Linked DNA regions of Saccharomyces cerevisiae S288C. The gene in region 1 interacts genetically with each later gene. Each region holds a gene or a part of one and is shown on either strand. Other genes may lie near its edges.

Evidence for each region.
Region 2: mutations in YCR023C (region 1) and RBG2 together harm fitness more than expected from each alone (negative genetic interaction), as found in Saccharomyces cerevisiae (one large-scale study listed by BioGRID).
Region 3: mutations in YCR023C (region 1) and YHK8 together harm fitness more than expected from each alone (negative genetic interaction), as found in Saccharomyces cerevisiae (one large-scale study listed by BioGRID).
Region 4: mutations in YCR023C (region 1) and GPI12 together harm fitness more than expected from each alone (negative genetic interaction), as found in Saccharomyces cerevisiae (one large-scale study listed by BioGRID).

The regions. Positions count from the first base shown.
Region 1 is NC_001135.5:156,785-161,969, reverse strand, and holds YCR023C (uncharacterized protein), read left to right. Parts: upstream 1-1,596; coding exon 1,597-3,432; downstream 3,433-5,185. Other genes in the region: asparagine--tRNA ligase SLM5, read left to right, coding at 1-1,226; YCR022C (uncharacterized protein), read left to right, coding at 4,205-4,549; HSP30 (Hsp30p), read left to right, coding at 4,863-5,185. UniProt on the Saccharomyces cerevisiae protein: Outward-rectifying chloride channel involved in chloride homeostasis.
Region 2 is NC_001139.9:842,210-846,713, forward strand, and holds RBG2 (Rbg2p), read left to right. Parts: upstream 1-1,644; coding exon 1,645-2,751; downstream 2,752-4,504. Other genes in the region: methionine--tRNA ligase MSM1, read right to left, coding at 1-342; transporter YIP1, read right to left, coding at 636-1,382; CBP4 (Cbp4p), read right to left, coding at 3,684-4,196; YGR174W-A (uncharacterized protein), read left to right, coding at 4,446-4,504.
Region 3 is NC_001140.6:202,334-207,248, forward strand, and holds YHK8 (Yhk8p), read left to right. Parts: upstream 1-2,273; coding exon 2,274-3,818; downstream 3,819-4,915. Other genes in the region: FSH1 (putative serine hydrolase), read left to right, coding at 4,129-4,860. UniProt on the Saccharomyces cerevisiae protein: Probable drug/proton antiporter.
Region 4 is NC_001145.3:830,067-834,362, forward strand, and holds GPI12 (N-acetylglucosaminylphosphatidylinositol deacetylase), read left to right. Parts: upstream 1-2,272; coding exon 2,273-3,187; downstream 3,188-4,296. Other genes in the region: DNA-binding transcription factor CAT8, read right to left, coding at 1-1,263; AEP2 (Aep2p), read right to left, coding at 3,290-4,296. UniProt on the Saccharomyces cerevisiae protein: Involved in the second step of GPI biosynthesis. De-N-acetylation of N-acetylglucosaminyl-phosphatidylinositol.

The DNA.
Region 1 (5,185 bases):
AAACTTTATCTATATCTAATGCTACCTGGCAAAGCACCCCTAATAGAAAACAACCTTTTGAATTGCAAATCAAAAATCCTGTCAAGTCAATTAAACTTGTGGGTCCCGTTTCAGAAAACTATCCATTACAAAAGAAATATCAAACCTTACGTTATTTAAGGTCCTTACCTACACTAAAATACAGAACCGCTTACTTAAGTGCAATTTTACGGTTAAGATCCTTTGTAGAATTCCAGTTCATGCTATATTTCCAGAAAAACCACTTCACCAAAGTTTCACCACCAATATTAACTTCAAACGATTGTGAAGGTGCCGGCGAGTTGTTTCAAGTCTCCACCAATACGTCGCCAACTGCATCCTCGTACTTTGGGAAGCCGACTTATTTGACTGTGTCCACTCAATTGCACTTGGAAATTTTAGCGTTATCACTGTCAAGGTGTTGGACGTTATCTCCTTGCTTTAGAGCCGAAAAGAGTGATACTCCAAGACACCTTTCGGAGTTTTGGATGCTTGAAGTGGAAATGTGCTTTGTTAATAGCGTCAACGAGCTAACATCGTTTGTTGAGACTACAATAAAACACATAATTAAAGCTTGTATAGATAACCAACAAGAACTCTTGCCGAAGCAATTTATCTCTTCACAAGAAAATAATGCATCGTCAGAGCTATCAATAAATCAAGAGACACAACAAATTAAAACACGATGGGAAGATTTAATAAATGAAAAATGGCACAATATAACGTATACCAATGCAATAGAAATTCTCAAGAAACGCCACAATGAAGTTTCACACTTTAAGTATGAACCTAAATGGGGACAGCCTTTGCAAACTGAACATGAAAAATTTTTAGCCGGAGAGTATTTTAAGTCCCCAGTTTTCGTTACCGACTATCCACGTCTTTGTAAACCATTCTACATGAAACAAAATTCCACTCCTGACGATACTGTTGGATGCTTTGATCTACTGGTTCCTGGAATGGGTGAAATAATTGGTGGGAGTTTAAGGGAAGATGACTATGACAAGTTATGTAGAGAAATGAAAGCACGCGGGATGAATAGATCTGGAGAATTGGACTGGTATGTTTCTCTGAGAAAAGAAGGAAGTGCACCACACGGAGGCTTTGGTCTAGGGTTTGAGAGATTTATCTCATACTTATATGGCAACCATAATATAAAGGATGCCATACCCTTTTATAGAACATCTGCAGAATCCATCGATTTTTGATATTCCATTTGTTTCTTATCTCCTTCTATGTATTTACTCACTGTTCACCATTCTTCCCCCCTTAAAAGTAAGCTTTATTTAAGACCATCCTTGTAAATATAATAATGTAGCATTTTTCTTCAATATGAAGGTACTAAACTCCATTTGGCATTCGGCCTGACCTATGTTAATTGACAAAGAATGACACATTCCGCTCATTGGAAATCTCGGATACGAAAATGCCAAAACAAAATATAACAAAAAGTATCTATCATTAGTAAAAAATACTATAATGGTCCTTATCCACAGAGCTTGAATTTAGATCACCTAAAGGAATGCTAGCAAAGGAACTAGGAAGTGGTAAGCATATGAACACACGAATATAAAAGATATGGCGCGTCAAAAGCTTACTTTCAAAGAACAAATGGATGGTTTCCCCTGGGTCCAACTTGTTGTTGTGTCCTTAGTTAGGTTCAGCGAACCAATTGCGTTTTCGTCACTATTTCCTTATGTTTATTTCATGGTTAGAGATTTTAATATTGCTCCCAATGATGCTCAAGTGTCCAAATATTCAGGTTATTTATCTTCATCATTTGCGTTATGCCAAGTCATATCTGCGTACCACTGGGGTAGATTCTCTGAAAAGCATGGCAGAAAAATAACATTGACTTGCGGGCTTATAGGAACATCTGTATCATTGTTAATACTGGGATTTTCACGCAATTTCTATCAGGCTTTGGTGGCAAGAAGTTTAATGGGATTGCTAAATGGTAACGTCGGCGTTATTAGAACCATTATTGGTGAAATAGCAACTGAAAGAAAACATCAGGCTTTAGCTTTCAGTACTATGCCTTTATTATTTCAATTTGGTGCCGTTGTTGGGCCTATGATCGGTGGGTTTCTTGTATTTAGAGATGGAACAATGAATGAAGTGCCACTATGGTTTCCACATTTTGCAAAAAGAATAATTAGGTCATATCCGTACGCCTTGCCAAACGTGGTAGTGTGCATGTTTTTGATGTTTGGTTTAACTAATGCAACATTGTTTTTGGAAGAAACACATCCTGCTTTTAAAGATAGAAGAGATTACGGTTTAGAGGTCGGTGATTTTATTAAGAAGAATATATTTGGTATACAGCCGAAAAGAAGACCCTGGCAAAAGCGCATTCAGGATGATTCGGAAAACATTCACCACCGTAATGAGAATGTGAACAGCATTCGAGGACAAGATAGTGAAGAGGATGAAAATAGTCCCCTAGTGAATACTACCAATGACGATGATACTGAAAGCATACAATCGATTGATCCTATTTTAACAAGAAGACAGTCTGTAGGCCTGATTAGGACATATTCTCTGCATGAACCAACAGACGCTGTGCATGCCAATATAGATACAGCTCCAGACGGTTGTAAAGAAAGTAGTATATTTCATCACGTTTTTCATACAAAAGTATTTTACCCTATATCGGTGAATTTTATTATGGCTTTACATTTGATTGTATACAACGAATTTTTGCCTGTTTTTTTAGCTTATGATTTAGCCGTAGATCCAGAAAATCCAAAGAAGCTGGCTTCAAAATTTCCGTGGAAAATATCTGGCGGTATAGGTTATGAACCAGAACAAACCGGTACTCTTTTGTCGACAACAGGTATCTTTGGTTGTTTTGTGGTTATTTTCATTTTTCCCATAGTTGATCGAAATTTCGATTGTTTAACAATTTTCAGAACTTTAGTCAAGCTGTACCCTATTATGTACGTTATGGTTCCTTACGTTGTTTTTCTACAGAATGAACGGATTCCTAGCTGGTATACTGTCGTCTACTTGTACATAATCACAGGGATAAAAACATTTTGTGGCGCTTTAACGTCACCACAAATTATGTTATTAATTCATAATTCGAGTCCCTTGAGTTGTAGATCAGTCATCAATGGCGCCACCATTAGTATTTCTGCCTCTGCTCGTTTCATAGGTCCCTTAGTATGGGGCTATATTATGTCTTGGTCCCAGCAAAATGACGTCGCCTGGGTCAGTTGGTGGTCGTTAAGTCTTTTTTGTATGGTAGCTCTTTATCAAAGTTATAAGATAGCACCAATTGATGATAACGAAAATGAGCTTCATGGACAGGGTAGTGAAGATGCCTACAATTCGCAGTCACAGTCTTCTGATTTAAGAATGGCTCATCGATCTAGTTTAAGCAGCTTAAGTAACCAACGCTGTACCACATGAGAAATTTTTTTTCAGAAGGCTTGCAAAAAGGATATCTAATAAAAAAAAAAATGAACTCCAGTAGATTTTAGATATCAACCATAACTGGCGAAAATTTGCACCTTTTTGATGAGAGCATGTTATGTCAAGGCATGGCCGCGTGATGGCATTGCACTCAAGATAGTTTCCGGAATTATTATACTCCTTATGTAAATTTCAATCCGTTTATGTAATTATATCCAGGAACTCAATTTGACCAGACAAGTAATGGCGCCCATTTTGAGCGAGAGAACCCATTTTTCTATACAAATTTCACTAGAGCACGGCCGTTACATTTAGTAATAGCCAATAAGGGTTTTTTATCGATTAGTGTTCCCTGCGCTCCTTAACATCATACAACCGAGTACTTGACATGGAGATAGTAGGCAAGTAAACCAAAGTCCTTTCTTCAAAAGTAGAAAACTTGAGCACTTATTTCCTGCGCATGTCATATGTTAATTTTCCTCAACTGCGCTGAATACGTCCTGTCAATTCAAATATATCACGTTGTGAGCAGCCCTGAAGAAGAAAACCTCAACAGCAGTATTACTATTACAATCAAACAACTTTAGTGCCGCGTGATACCGGGGGTTGAAGTGGGTGCATTGAGCCGTATTCTTCTTCCCCGTAAGAAAGTTGTGTATCCTTTTTACTGCGTTGTAATAGCTTCTGAAAACCTAAAAAATGAACGCTATGTAGCTCATATCCGTTTTGCATAAGTAAGAATAACTACTTGTGCAGGGTGCCGAAAGGGATGGAAAACCGCTGCAGCAACCCTTGTTACATACAGTCGGATCCATCTGACTTACTTTCCTTGCGTCTCCCTGCGCGATTTTGTTGGCCATTTTCCAGATCCTCTAGAATTTTTCAAGGGTCGAGCCGTAGGAGGATTCTCTCAGAAGGCAAAAACGCATCGAAAGCGTGCTTTGTAAGAATATTTGGTATGGCTAAAGTAAGCAAAGCCATATCCCGATCCCGATCCCGACTCTTATTCCGATCCCTTCCGCCACATCCTGCATGTTTATTCGAATACCAAATTAGCTCATCTTCGTTATTTCATCATCCCTTTCTGCTATGGCAAGGACAAGTTTTTTTCTAGCATCTCATCGAAAACTTTCCTCTCCCTAATTGGCCAAAGTTTTCATATTCATCATCAGTTAGAAAGTATAATATCAATCCCTTACCTCATTACAAGTTGTATCACACTAAAAAAATCATATATAAGTCTGTGAGAGTCTTCAATTATTTAGCGTAACACCTATTCACTTTCTAATCTTGTTTCTTGTTTTTACATTCTGCAATACAACACAACAACAAATATTAACTCAATTATTATTATTTATAATTACAAAAACAAAACAACAAGTTTGAGACTTTAATATCTTTTGATTACTAAAAACAACAAATTTCAAATGAACGATACGCTATCAAGCTTTTTAAATCGTAACGAGGCTTTAGGGCTTAATCCACCACATGGCCTGGATATGCACATTACCAAGAGAGGTTCGGATTGGTTATGGGCAGTGTTTGCAGTCTTTGGCTTTATATTGCTATGCTATGTTGTGATGTTCTTCATTGCGGAGAACAAGGGCTCCAGATTGACTAGATATGCCTTAGCTCCTGCATTTTTGATCACTTTCTTTGAATTTTTTGCTTTCTTCACTTATGCTTCTGATTTAGGTTGGACTGGTGTTCAAGCTGAATTTAACCACGTCAAGGTTAGCAAGTCTATCAC
Region 2 (4,504 bases), on another chromosome or scaffold:
GTTTTCAATGTGGTCAGGATCCGTAGTCCTTATAAATCTTGTATAATTAATGCCATATATTTTGTCTAATTGAACAAACTCTGGGTATAGCTTATCGACGAACTTTTTTGGCTGATCGAAGCCATTGCTTTCACTAGCACACTGGATTTTCAATCCATGTTCATCAGTACCTGTGGTAAAGAAGGATAGATTACCTTTAAATAATTGCCATCGATGGTAAACGTCACTTAATAAGCTGGAGTAAAGATGGCCGAGGTGCGGTTTGGCATTGGGATAGAAAATTGGCGTCGTTACGTGGGAGACCTTAGAGTACAGACGATGCACAATTGATCGACATTGCATGTTTTCTTTCGATCAAAACCTATGCTTTCCTTATTTACCTCTGGAGAATAGTAACATTAAAATTTACATTCTTTTTTCACAGTTGTGCGGATTTATTTGTTTGAAACCACCATTGGACTACGTTTTAGTTTTTAAAGAAAGAGAAGGCACTTCGTAATCCAATGTTGCCTAGTACTGGTATTGCTTGCACTATACAAGGAAGTAAGTGTGATTATGTAATGCTGTATACACTCTTTATTCAAACATAGTTCAGAAAAACATATATACAAATATCGCCCCTAAGCCAATTCCCTTCAGACAAAAATTACCATGAGGGCAAAAACACTGTAGAAAATCAACAGTGGGTAGGCAATTAGCAATCTTGCATTTTGCAATTGGAGCAAAGAATTTAAAAATCCAGACGAGGTCCAAGTACTCCAAATTACAAATAGTACTGATACAACATAACCTGTAGTGTTGTTCAAACCATGGAAAATGCCCAGTAAAGAAAGGAAACACAGAGGCAAAAAGCAGTATCCTAAGATGGACGCTGTATTGAAAAATTGTAGGTTCGTTTGAGTGGAAGTATCGTTATTGCTCATTAATTTCGATAGATTGTGCAAAGAAATGGTACCAAACAAAGCGACACCATAGATATATCCAAAATGAACCTTTCCAGCCATCAATAGAAAAAGTCCGAATAACAAAAAGAATATCAAAGGCCCAGCCAAATCTGAATCGTTTAGAATTTCTTGTGGCACACCACTACCAAAACGTATTGGTATAAGAACCATTTTAGTTTTCGTTATGATATGATCGAAATTTATTCCAATTTCCTCCAGTAATGGAGGTTCATGTGGATATCCCTTAGTTGAAAGAGCATGTAAAATACCTACAGGCAAAGGGTCGGGGGCAACACCCAAATTGTTATCGTTGCCAGTATTAGAAGAACCGACGGTATTTTGAAAACTCATTGACCCTTGGGGAACGGCAAATTGTGCAGAAGGCTGATAAAAGCCACCGCCATTATTAGCATTGTTACTAGTATTGTAGAAAGACATCTCGAGAGGGACTAATAGTTGTCTTGCAGTACTTCCCGTCCAATTTGTAGCTGTTATAAGATGACTTGGTTCGTGTCACGTAGTTACCTCACTCAAATAGCAAAATAATCAATGGTTACCCGAAGTGAAAATTTTCGTGATAATAGCGATGAGATTTAAACCCAGTTATAAAAGTCGTACAATATTGAAGCTGTTGATATTGGAATTGAACAAGTACTAACGAGATACGCATTATCAAAACTAACGTAACAAGCACTACAAAATGGGTATTATCGACAAAATCAAAGCCATCGAAGAAGAAATGGCCAGAACCCAAAAAAATAAGGCCACAGAACATCATCTGGGTCTTTTGAAGGGGAAATTGGCTAGATACAGACAACAACTGCTAGCTGATGAAGCTGGTAGTGGTGGTGGAGGAGGGTCTGGTTTTGAAGTGGCAAAATCAGGTGACGCTAGAGTAGTTTTAATAGGTTACCCCTCCGTCGGTAAGTCCTCCTTATTGGGTAAAATTACCACCACCAAGTCTGAGATCGCTCATTATGCTTTCACGACATTGACATCCGTTCCTGGTGTATTGAAGTACCAAGGTGCAGAAATCCAAATTGTGGATCTTCCAGGTATTATTTATGGTGCTTCGCAGGGTAAAGGTCGTGGTAGGCAAGTTGTTGCAACAGCAAGGACCGCAGATCTAGTATTAATGGTTTTAGATGCCACAAAGAGTGAACATCAAAGAGCATCTTTGGAGAAGGAGCTGGAAAATGTAGGCATCAGGCTTAATAAAGAGAAACCAAATATTTACTATAAGAAAAAAGAAACTGGTGGCGTGAAAGTTACGTTTACCTCCCCTCCAAAGACCAATTTAACCGAACAGGCAATCAAAATGATCTTGAGAGATTATCGTATCCATAATGCAGAAGTTCTGGTAAGAGATGACCAATGTACGATTGATGATTTTATCGATGTTATTAACGAACAACATAGAAATTATGTCAAATGTCTTTATGTGTATAATAAGATAGATGCAGTATCATTAGAAGAGGTGGATAAACTTGCCAGAGAGCCAAACACCGTTGTTATGTCCTGTGAAATGGATTTGGGATTACAAGACGTCGTTGAAGAAATTTGGTACCAGCTGAACTTGAGTCGTGTGTATACAAAGAAGAGAGGTGTTAGACCAGTATTTGATGATCCTCTAGTGGTAAGAAATAATTCCACTATTGGTGACTTATGTCATGGTATCCACAGGGATTTCAAAGATAAGTTCAAATACGCATTGGTTTGGGGTTCTTCTGCCAAACATTCTCCTCAGAAGTGCGGCTTAAACCACAGGATTGATGATGAAGATGTAGTTTCTTTATTCGCGAAATAGTATAAATGAATAGATTTTAAAGAAACATGAAAAAACAAGATCAGCATCGAGAACTGTAGTACGGAGCAGAGATTTTGCATGACTAAACGGACTCATTTTCCTTGTAGTAGAAATAAATGCTGAAAATAGGTTTTTTAGTGAGAACCGGAAGGTGTTACTTTCATGGTATATTCGTATATACTTTTATAATGTAATTTGAAGAGCTCCGTTCATAAAAATTGTCATTCTGGGCTTCAAATGAATAAATAAACCCGAATGACAATGAAATCTCGAAATTATAATAGTGGTACCTAGTGTAGTAAGTATAAAGGAACCTTCTCTGTTGTATCTCAGAATGGGATACCTCAGTATGACAATACATCATCCTAAACGTTCATAAAACACATATGAAACAACCTTACAGCAAAACGAACAGAATGAGCAACATGAAAATAAAACTCTGCCTTCCTTAGCTAACCTACTCTAACGTATAAGTATCTGAACAATTGGTTTAGATCCAAGATTCCGCGCTTCCACCATTTAGTATGATCCATATTTTATATAATATATAGGATAAGTAAGATCCCGTGAATCAAGCTGATAAACCGTTTTGACAACTGGTTACTTCCCTAAGACTGTTTATATTAGGATTGTCAAGAACCTTGACATTACCCCATTGCATGATGCAATAATCTCATATAAATAACAAGCGCAAGTGGTTTAGTGGTAAAATCCAACGTTGCCATCGTTGGGCCCCCGGTTCGATTCCGGGCTTGCGCAATGTTTTTTCCATCCCCAAGTATGGGAACTAAAATAGCTAAAAATAAGTATGAAGTTATATTTTTAAACCTATTTACAGTGTACAAATAAATAATATATCATAAATGACACAGACGTATGTTTTAGGATGCAAAAGTTCAAGCTGCCCTTCCTAATTGAGTGACCCGACCCATCTACCAGAAGCGCCACCAGCTTTTAACCTGCTTATCCTGGACTATTTCCTTTGTTTTCTCCTCCGTTTCAGATCTTAGCTGAGACAGTTCATTTCTGATCCTAGCCAACTCTTCTTTTTGCACCTCCTCCGCCCTCACCTTAGCAAAGTGATCTCTGCTTTGAACGTTATCACCGTTCCTTTCCCAAGGTGATTGAAGGGGGCCCGTCTTCCAAATTGGATCGTCACTTTGAGAAGTTTCCTTAACAATTTTCATCAAAGCCTGCTGCTCCGACTGACGTAGTTTTTTCTCCCTCTCATATTGTAAACGTAATTCTGGGGAAAGCTGGCTGATTAACTGTTGATCTGTTGGCGTTGTGTACTTGAAAAGCAGAAACCCGCTTCCAATAATAGCGCCACCAATTGCATAGACTTTCAACCAACGTACCCACAATGGTCTTTCCATACCCAAATAATGCTTATACTGTCTTTGTTTTGCTATTACTGCCTCTCTAGGAGTTATCGCGCACTGCATGTATATAAAATTTTATCTTGATAAAATACCCCGGGGGATGAGCAAAAAAAGGGATATGGGGAATGAAAAGTGAGATAAACTAGCAATAATCTATTCTAATAAGTAGAACATTCACAAAGACTACTATGGTGTAATTCTGAAAGGATTTACGAGAGCACAAATACTATTATGTATAATTCTGACTGCAGAATCCGGCAAGCTTGATTTAATATCACTTAAGGAAGTAATATCGTTAATTGATAACCGAATATGAATCTCAATGCATATTTTGAAGCATATCAAGCCATTTTTCCTTTTCTGTTGGAGGC
Region 3 (4,915 bases), on another chromosome or scaffold:
CCGCACTGCGGTAAGATGAGGGTATAAGGTGGAGATCAGGCGAACAAGCTGTTCTAAATCATACATATGTACAATGAGAACGTGTAACGATCCAATGAGCGTTTCATGATGCCATTGTTTAATCAGAGTGATGAAAAAGAAATATTTGCGACCTTTTTTCGTTACATTGATCGTGAAATTTTAATCAAAGATAATATAAGGACGTGAGATATTTATCTTTTTACTTGAAATTAACAATAGAATTGCGCTAAGCGGAATAAGAGCTTTCGTAAACCTTTCTATTTGCACCATTGCGTCAACGTATAAAATGGTATGACCTTTACACAAACGCATGCTTATAATCTTATGTTTTTCATAGGGTGTAATTTGGTTGATGACGTAGTCTAAATTTGATGCTATCTGCAATTGAGGTACATATAAGAGGTCAATTTCGGGACCAACCCTTTTAATCGAAAAAAACGTAATTCACTAGGGCAAGGGAGAACTTAGCAGCTAATATCGTAAACCTTTCATACTAAAAAAATGCACTTACCATCAACAAAAAACTCAGGACCAATTTCCAAGCTTTTCTAGGTGATTGCCTATAACACAAAAAGATTCGCTCATACATGAGATTTTTACATGTAATAGCAATTTGTTCCGATCAGTTGAAGGTCATCAACGCACGGCAGGTACATCCACACCTATCACAAAGCCCTTCAATAATTCACCTACGTAAAGTTATACCGAAACATGCAAAATCCATGAAAAATTCTGTATGATAACGATCATATCCTTTTGTATTGGTGGTACGATGCTCAAAGATAGTTATTGTTGCACCTGAGGCAAAAGCGGAAATGAAAAATCCAGATGGGGCCAAAAGCAGAAGTATTGTGTACAACAATTGCTTCAGCAGTTTACCAAACCGTTTCCCAGCAATCATCAAAAGTTGCTTTAGCCACATTTCCGCAAGATATCTTTGTGGCTCAACGAAGAGGGCTATTCCAAATGCAATACAATACTAGCCGCTAGTGATCCATGCTTATAGGCAATTTGATTGATAACTGGCCGTTCTATTAAGGAGTCAATGCTAACCACATATAATGCATATAGGATTTGGCCTCTGCTGACCGTAATACTAGACAAGGAATATAAAACAACAACGTAACCCAGCATAAAAACGATATAAATAAAAAAAGAAACCAGATCATAAAGTTTGAGGGCACATCCCTCATGGTTTCAAAATCTCGTACATTGACTCAAACCTCGAGATCTTGTTTAAACGAACATAAGAACAGCGGTACCAAGTGACACATTGCGTACTGTGTAGTATGCGCCGTATATAACTTTTTTTTTCTGAAGGTACTTTGAATTACAATCTATTTTTTACAGTTCCTATGGCAGGGGTTGAAGATATTTGGGTCTGAACCATAGCAGGATTAGTGTTATAGTAGGTATGTGAATAGAAGCTAACAAAATGAGATGAACCTCATACAAAGTCGTAGAGAAAACTGCTAACAGAAGAGCTGCGCCTTGAAATCGTATCTCTAAGCTTATAATAAATTGAAAGGAAAAAATACGTGGTAAATGCAAGCGACCAAAAGGCTACGGCCCAACGCTAACCCGCCGATAGGTGCATAATCTAATTTACCTCCACCAGCAGGAGCCCTTTTTCTAAGTAATAAGCAAACCAGATAACTTACATCTTGCTGTAGGAAACAAAAGCCGGAATAATGGTTCACTCATATTCTTCGTGTGAAACACAGAAGAAATCCAATATTTGCTTCAGTATTTATCTCTAAAAATTGGTCCTACATTGGAAACCATAAACCAATTATAACCGGTGTACGAATTGTAAGCTAGTTCTGGAAATGTCATGTTGCGCAGGTAAAAGTGGAGCTGAATTGTATATCTGTTTTGATCATTATTATCCCTCTGGGTGAGTGGAAATATCAATAAAATGCAATGGCACATTTAATATCCTTCTCTTAATTCCGTGATTTATAACATCTTGATGCCAGAAACACCTTTCGGATCCGGCAATAAAGCGGAGATTAGCACGCTTTTCGCCGGTCCTACGGATTTAGTGTTGGCTATTGTTGAGATTAGTAATACGCAGAGAATTTTTCTACCGGTGAAGCGACCATCTCAGATTATTAGGTCAAGCAATAACACTTGTTATTAGATGCGTTACGTTCACCTGGACCCTATATAAAGGCATATTTGCCTTACATTTGGTGTATGGTATCACCTTGTATACTAAGAACATATATATGCAGATATAACAACAGGATATGGTTGCAGAATTTCAAATAGCGAGTGCACAGTCATCGGCATTGACATCTACTGAAGAAGAGCATTGTTCAATAAACTCAGACAAAGCCGCAAAACTGGATCTGGAATTGACCAGTGAACGAAAAAATGACGGCAAACAATCGCATGAAGTGACCTTCAACGAGGACATCGCGGACCCAGAAGATATAGCACGGCATATGAGCACCGCCCGCCGGTATTATATTTCCTCGTTAATTACATTCACATCGATGGTAATTACGATGATCTCGTCCAGCTGGACGCTTCCTTCAACGCACATAATCGAACACTTTCATATTTCGCACGAAGTCAGCACTCTGGGAATTACGCTTTATGTGTTTGGGCTCGGTATAGGACCTTTATTTCTGTCTCCACTAAGTGAACTATATGGACGAAGGATCACATTTTTATACGCCCTTACGCTCAGTATCATATGGCAGTGTTTGACCATTTGGTCCAAGACCATTACGGGTGTCATGTTTGGCAGATTTCTATCCGGGTTTTTTGGTTCAGCCTTTCTAAGTGTGGCTGGCGGCGCCATTGCCGATATATTCGACAAAGACCAAATTGGTATTCCTATGGCAATATACACTACATCGGCCTTTTTGGGGCCCTCTTTAGGACCAATCATTGGTGGAGCCTTATACCATCAAAGTTATAAATGGACATTTATCACACTTCTCATCACTTCTGGATGTTGTCTCGTTATGATCATCTTTACCATACCTGAAACCTACAAACCAATGCTGTTAATACGTAAAGCTAAGAGATTGAGGAAAGAGAAAAATGATCAACGGTATTATGCTGTCCTGGAAGTCACCCGCGAACAGACTTCCTTACTTTCCGCAATCTTTCTCTCAACCAAAAGACCCTTTGGCCTGTTACTTCGAGACCGAATGATGGGTGTGCTTTGCTTCTATACTGGATTGGAACTTGCCATAATATATTTATATTTCGTAGCGTTTCCTTATGTGTTCAAGAAACTTTACAACTTTGGGCCCATGGAGATTGCATGCTCCTATATCGGTATTATGGTCGGCATGATACTCTCGGCTCCTACTTGCTTGTTATTCCAAAAAACGTTTGAGTGGAGAGTCAAAAGAAATAATGGCGTCAAGACTCCCGAAATGAGATTCGAGCCTCTGTTCTACGGCGCCTTTTTGACCCCAGTTGGGCTCTTCATTTTTGCATTCACCTGCTACAAGCATGTCCATTGGATTGCACCAATTATAGGCAGTGCAATTTTCGGTTCAGGTGTTTATTTCGTCTTTACCGGTGTTTTTGCGTATACAGTGGATGCCTATAGAAGATATGCAGCTTCTGGAATGGCTTGTAACACATTTGTGAGATGCATAATGGCCGGTGTCTTCCCTCTTTTCGGACTCCAGATGTACAAGTCAATGGGAGTGAATTGGGCCGGCTTTCTCTTGGCAATGGTGACCGTAGCGATGATTCCTGTCCCATTTCTGTTTACCAAATACGGTGCCCGACTGAGAGCCAAGTCGCCGTATGCATGGGATGATTGATTTTTTTGCATATTTTTTCCTTTGGATGTTGCATAATCTTTTCCCGCTTACGTCATTGGTGATAGATTGTTTCGGATCTTCAAAAGGCAACACGCATAGGCCAAAGAAAAAAGAAATTTTGCATTTTTTCATTTTTGCATATTCTCGCATGTTTTCTTTCTTTTTCTCTAGTTTTCGAATGTTTTTGGCTGCAATGTATATTGTATATAAACCATAAAGGTGCAAAATGCCAGATGTACGCGGCCAATCTTAATTTTCTAGTAAAAGTAGCAGCTAAATCTGAAACTCTCTAGCTTGTAATAAACGAAGGATGACTGTACAAATTCCAAAATTATTATTTTTACACGGCTTCTTGCAAAACGGTAAAGTTTTCTCCGAAAAATCATCTGGTATTAGAAAATTATTGAAGAAGGCTAATGTCCAATGTGACTATATTGATGCACCAGTCCTTTTAGAAAAGAAGGACTTGCCATTTGAAATGGATGATGAAAAATGGCAAGCCACCCTAGATGCGGATGTTAACAGAGCCTGGTTCTATCACAGCGAAATCTCTCACGAATTGGATATCTCAGAAGGTTTGAAGTCTGTTGTTGATCACATCAAGGCCAATGGCCCATACGACGGCATTGTCGGTTTCTCTCAAGGTGCCGCATTGTCCTCTATCATCACCAACAAGATCTCAGAGTTAGTTCCAGACCATCCACAATTCAAGGTAAGTGTAGTCATTTCCGGCTATTCCTTCACCGAGCCAGACCCAGAACATCCTGGAGAATTGAGAATAACCGAAAAATTCAGAGACTCATTTGCGGTAAAACCAGACATGAAGACCAAGATGATCTTCATCTATGGTGCTTCTGACCAAGCCGTCCCATCCGTCAGATCCAAGTACCTGTACGATATTTATTTGAAGGCGCAAAATGGTAATAAGGAAAAGGTGTTGGCTTACGAACACCCTGGTGGACATATGGTTCCAAACAAGAAGGACATTATCAGACCAATTGTTGAACAAATAACCTCTTCCTTACAAGAAGCTTCTGAATAAATCGTAGGTTGTTGCTTACCTGCTTTCTAGCTTTTTACTATCACACGCAGGGTGT
Region 4 (4,296 bases), on another chromosome or scaffold:
GTGGTCATTGTTTAGAATTGGTACCTGATTAGACCAAAATTTGAAAAAAAGGTGTAAAAGCTCTTTAATTTCAGTGAGGGAAAGTAGTTCATCATCCTGATCATTAGCCGGCTTTTCTGATTGCTTTGAAAACGAGTTAATGTTAAATTTCAAAGAAATTAAAAACTTTTTCAAATCGACAAACTCGGAGAGGTTTGTGCTTTGAAACCTTTTCACAAAAGCCGAATCATCATCAAGTTTTTTATCTTCATCTTTCTCCTTTAACTTGGTTGATGTTGAAGGTGCTAGAAGCCGTGGTGCTGGCAATCTATTTTTCAATGAAGATAATAATGAAACCGTATACAAACATTGCTTTGAGTTGAAACCAAATATTTGTCTTATCCTAGTTAAAAGCTGAGGAATAAACAGAATTTCTTCAGTAGATCTTGGGATGGATAAAGAAACTAAAGTTGCCAATTGAGTGCTACGTTGATGAGTCGTCATTGATTTTAATGCCTTTACCGCAGGAAGACCAGGTGCCTCGTCCTGTTCAAAAGATATAGCGGTTGGATCGTTTAAACTCGTAGAAGTAGGCTTGACGTGTAAATGATTTGTACAGGAAACGCCGTCACAAAGATGGTCTTTGTGTGGCGGTGGAGGTGGTGCCCCCAATGGACTCATTGCAGAACCGCTATTATCACCATCCATTTTGCCATTTTGTAGCTGCTTATTAACCGTTTGATTTAATAAATAGATATTTGTAGAAGACAGATTCAATGGAGCATCTTTCAAATCATGTTTGAAATTGCCATTTATGGTATTATCCGTTGATGTCTGTGGTCGCGACTGTGAAACAAGGCTTATTTGCTGTTCTTTGATATCACACAAAGCTAGCAAACGCTTATTCTCTGCCTCCAGTTCGCGTACTCTTTCTTCCAGGCTTTCTGTGTACCCTTTTGGATACGCTTTCCTCAGTAATTTATCGCTTATTCTGCATTCAAATCCGACAGCAGCACACTGCGAACACTGTGGTCTTTTTCCATCGCACCTTGTTTTCTTAGATCGACACCTGTCACAAGCTTGAGCTATCCTGTAAATAGGTGTAGATAAAGGAGTCGGAGAAGCTGTCTTGATCATTGCTTCCTTCACGTTCTTGGAAAAATGAGGGTTTGCCTCCGAACTTGAAGTTCTATTAGATATGCTAGGACCGCTAAGCGCTTGTGAACCCAGAGTTCTAATGACTCTGGGTTCCAAACCTTGTCGATCAGAATTATTATTTGCCATAATTTTGTGTCTTGTCTTTTACTCAACTTGTAAATTCTCTTTAGGGTGTTGTAACTGTTTATGAAGAAATAAATACCGTAATGAATTATTAAATTATTAAATTCTTCGTCTTTTTACAATATCACAGGTTTAAAGGGGAGTTTAACAAAATCTACTATTTTACGGCTGTTTTCTTTTTTTGAGTGTCACTGACCAATCATGCTTTCGTACCCCACAAAATATCAGCCCCGCCGCTCCATGCATGTCTCGGTTATCGCTTAATACGAATATAATCACTGAGAACCTCGGCGGCAAAAATATTTACCAATAGGCAAATTAAACACCGAAAAAAAGAAGTTTCAAGTAGAAGATTATCCCGAATACCAAAAAATTGCACGAGAAAGAATGTCTTTTTATGATTTATTGCTTATAATACTCAATTACTCTGGTTTTCTCCGTTCCTGTTACGCACATAAACTCTCTCTGTCTCTGATATCACAACTCATATCGCGAATAAACACCGGATAGAAAGAAGTGAGAGGAGCTACGATAACTGAATATACTCTTTCATCAAAAGTAATGTGCTAATAAAAAGAAATGTTGCACCATCTTAACAGATGTAAAAATGTTCTGCAGAAGGAAAGTTGTGTAATCATACACATTCAATAGTATAAGTCGTATCACAATCTGATGATAAAAGTTGTTACCTCTTTTAACTGCCTCTGATCCTTTTCACATTCAGTAATTTCTCGTAGATGTATATGTGCGAATGTGTCAATGTGTTTGTATGAAATAAACTAGTAGCCGGGTAACAAGTACTCCTAAATTCCCGCTTCGCCGTTTCTATCTCATTGGAGTCGTCCCTTCTAGAAGGTTTACTAGTTACGTTAACGTCATAGAAAAAGGAAAATCGACGCTGCGCTTTTATTTATAATCTTGCATTGCCCTCCTTATTTATCGAATTGTTAAGTGTAGATAGGTGACGCTAGAGCCGTATATTAGATTCTTTCAAACCCTGAAGAAAAGTTAAATGAAGATGTTGAGGCGTACAAAGGTAAATTTTTCAAAATTGCTTTACAAGATTACTAAACTAGCAATAGTACTGACGATCCTATATATTTATTTTACGCCCAAAATCGTCTCCCGAAACAATGCATCATTGCAGCATATTTTTCCTCATAAATATGGCGATTATGAAATCAATTTGGTCATAGCGCACCCTGACGACGAAGTTATGTTTTTTTCCCCCATAATTTCTCAACTGAATTCGTACTTTCCGAGAACCGTCCCATTTAACATAATCTGCTTATCAAAGGGCAACGCCGAAGGTCTTGGCGAAACCAGGGTAAGAGAATTAAATGAGTCGGCCGCTTTATTGCTACACAATGAAAGAGCAGTCTCCGTACAGGTGATGGATTTCCAGGATGGTATGGACGAAATATGGGATATTGATTCTATAACTTCTTCTCTTTCACAAAAGATAGATATAAAGAATCATAACTTGAACCAGATTATCGTTACCTTTGATTCATATGGTGTATCAAATCATATCAACCACAAAAGCTGTTATGCTGCCGTTAAAAAGTTGGTGGATGATTATGCTCAACCTAAGACCAAAAGAAATGAACAACCACCTCATGTCACTGCGCTTTATTTGAGAAGCTACAAGAACAACATCGTTTTAAAGTACAACTCCTTTATTTGGGAAATCCTAAAAATACTTTACGACCTGATTTCTCCATTCCGTAGAATAATTCAGGCGCTTCCGCCTAACACAGCCGCCGAAAAAGACAAGCTTTCACTTATGAATACACATGCACAATACGTACTAGCGTTTGCCACTATGCTAAATGCTCACGAATCCCAAGTTGTGTGGTTTAGATACGGATGGTGGATATTTTCCAGATTTGTCTTCGTTAATGAATTTGATGTTTATACATATTAGACTCTACACTGTAGATATATATATAAAAAAGTCCCATATTATTTACATCCTATAGAATAAGAATATGGAGAAAAATAAATGCTAATTCTACTTACACTTTTCTTACCAAAGGCTACCTATAATCATACCATCATCTTCATCGTCATCGAAACTATCTAGCCGCACTTTCTCCCTTTCCTTTTTGTTCTCAATCTTGTTTTTCATTTTCTTACTTCTTAGAAACATACGATTCGCACAAAAAATATTCAAATCTTTGGTCATTTTTCTATCAAAACCATAACTATCAATGAATTCCCTTACCGCTGAAAATCTACCTCTATTTACAAGCTCCTTAATAATACATTTTTGGTATTTGATAATGATATTGTTAACTTTTCCAGCATTTTCTGCTCTCGTTCTTTCGATCCCCGGTTTGAAACTCCTTAAAACATCAATTCCAAGCGGGAAATTGCCTGTTTTCTTCATGATATCGTACAGTTGTCTCAACGTCTCATAATCAACTGAAGGCCTTAGCCGCTTAGATGCATACCACTGCTTCATTAAATGCCAACATCTAACAACAGAAGTGGCTTTCTTGTCGTTTGCTGGTGTCCAAGCAAAATGACTTAGCTGAAACAGCCTTCTCCAAAATAGCGCATCCAATTTCACGTCCGGATAGTGCTTTATGAATGAATCCAAAATACTTAGGCCTCTGTGAAGATCGTGGTCATTAAAGTAGAATGACACTAAGATTGAAACGAGTATTTTGGAACTAGGATAGCACCCTCGGTGCTTAATTACTACGTGACTAGGAAACTCTTGGGGTGATATTTGCCATATATGTTCAATACACCGTTCCAATATTTGGGTTTGGCCTAGGTGTCCAAAGGATTGAATTAAAGTGGACAACAAATCCTCGGAATTCAAAAGCTTTTTCTCCTGCAGAGCAAGATCAGCAATCTTTAATAATGTTTGGTGATCCATGGCTTTGTAAGTAGAAGAAAGACGAATTGACGTATTTTTCGCACCTAGTCGAACCATTTTTCTTAAAAAACCTTGTTTTTGCTCACTATTATCTGGTATTTTCCAATAAGGCGCCAAAGCGCCACAACGCAGTTGTAAAAAGTGAA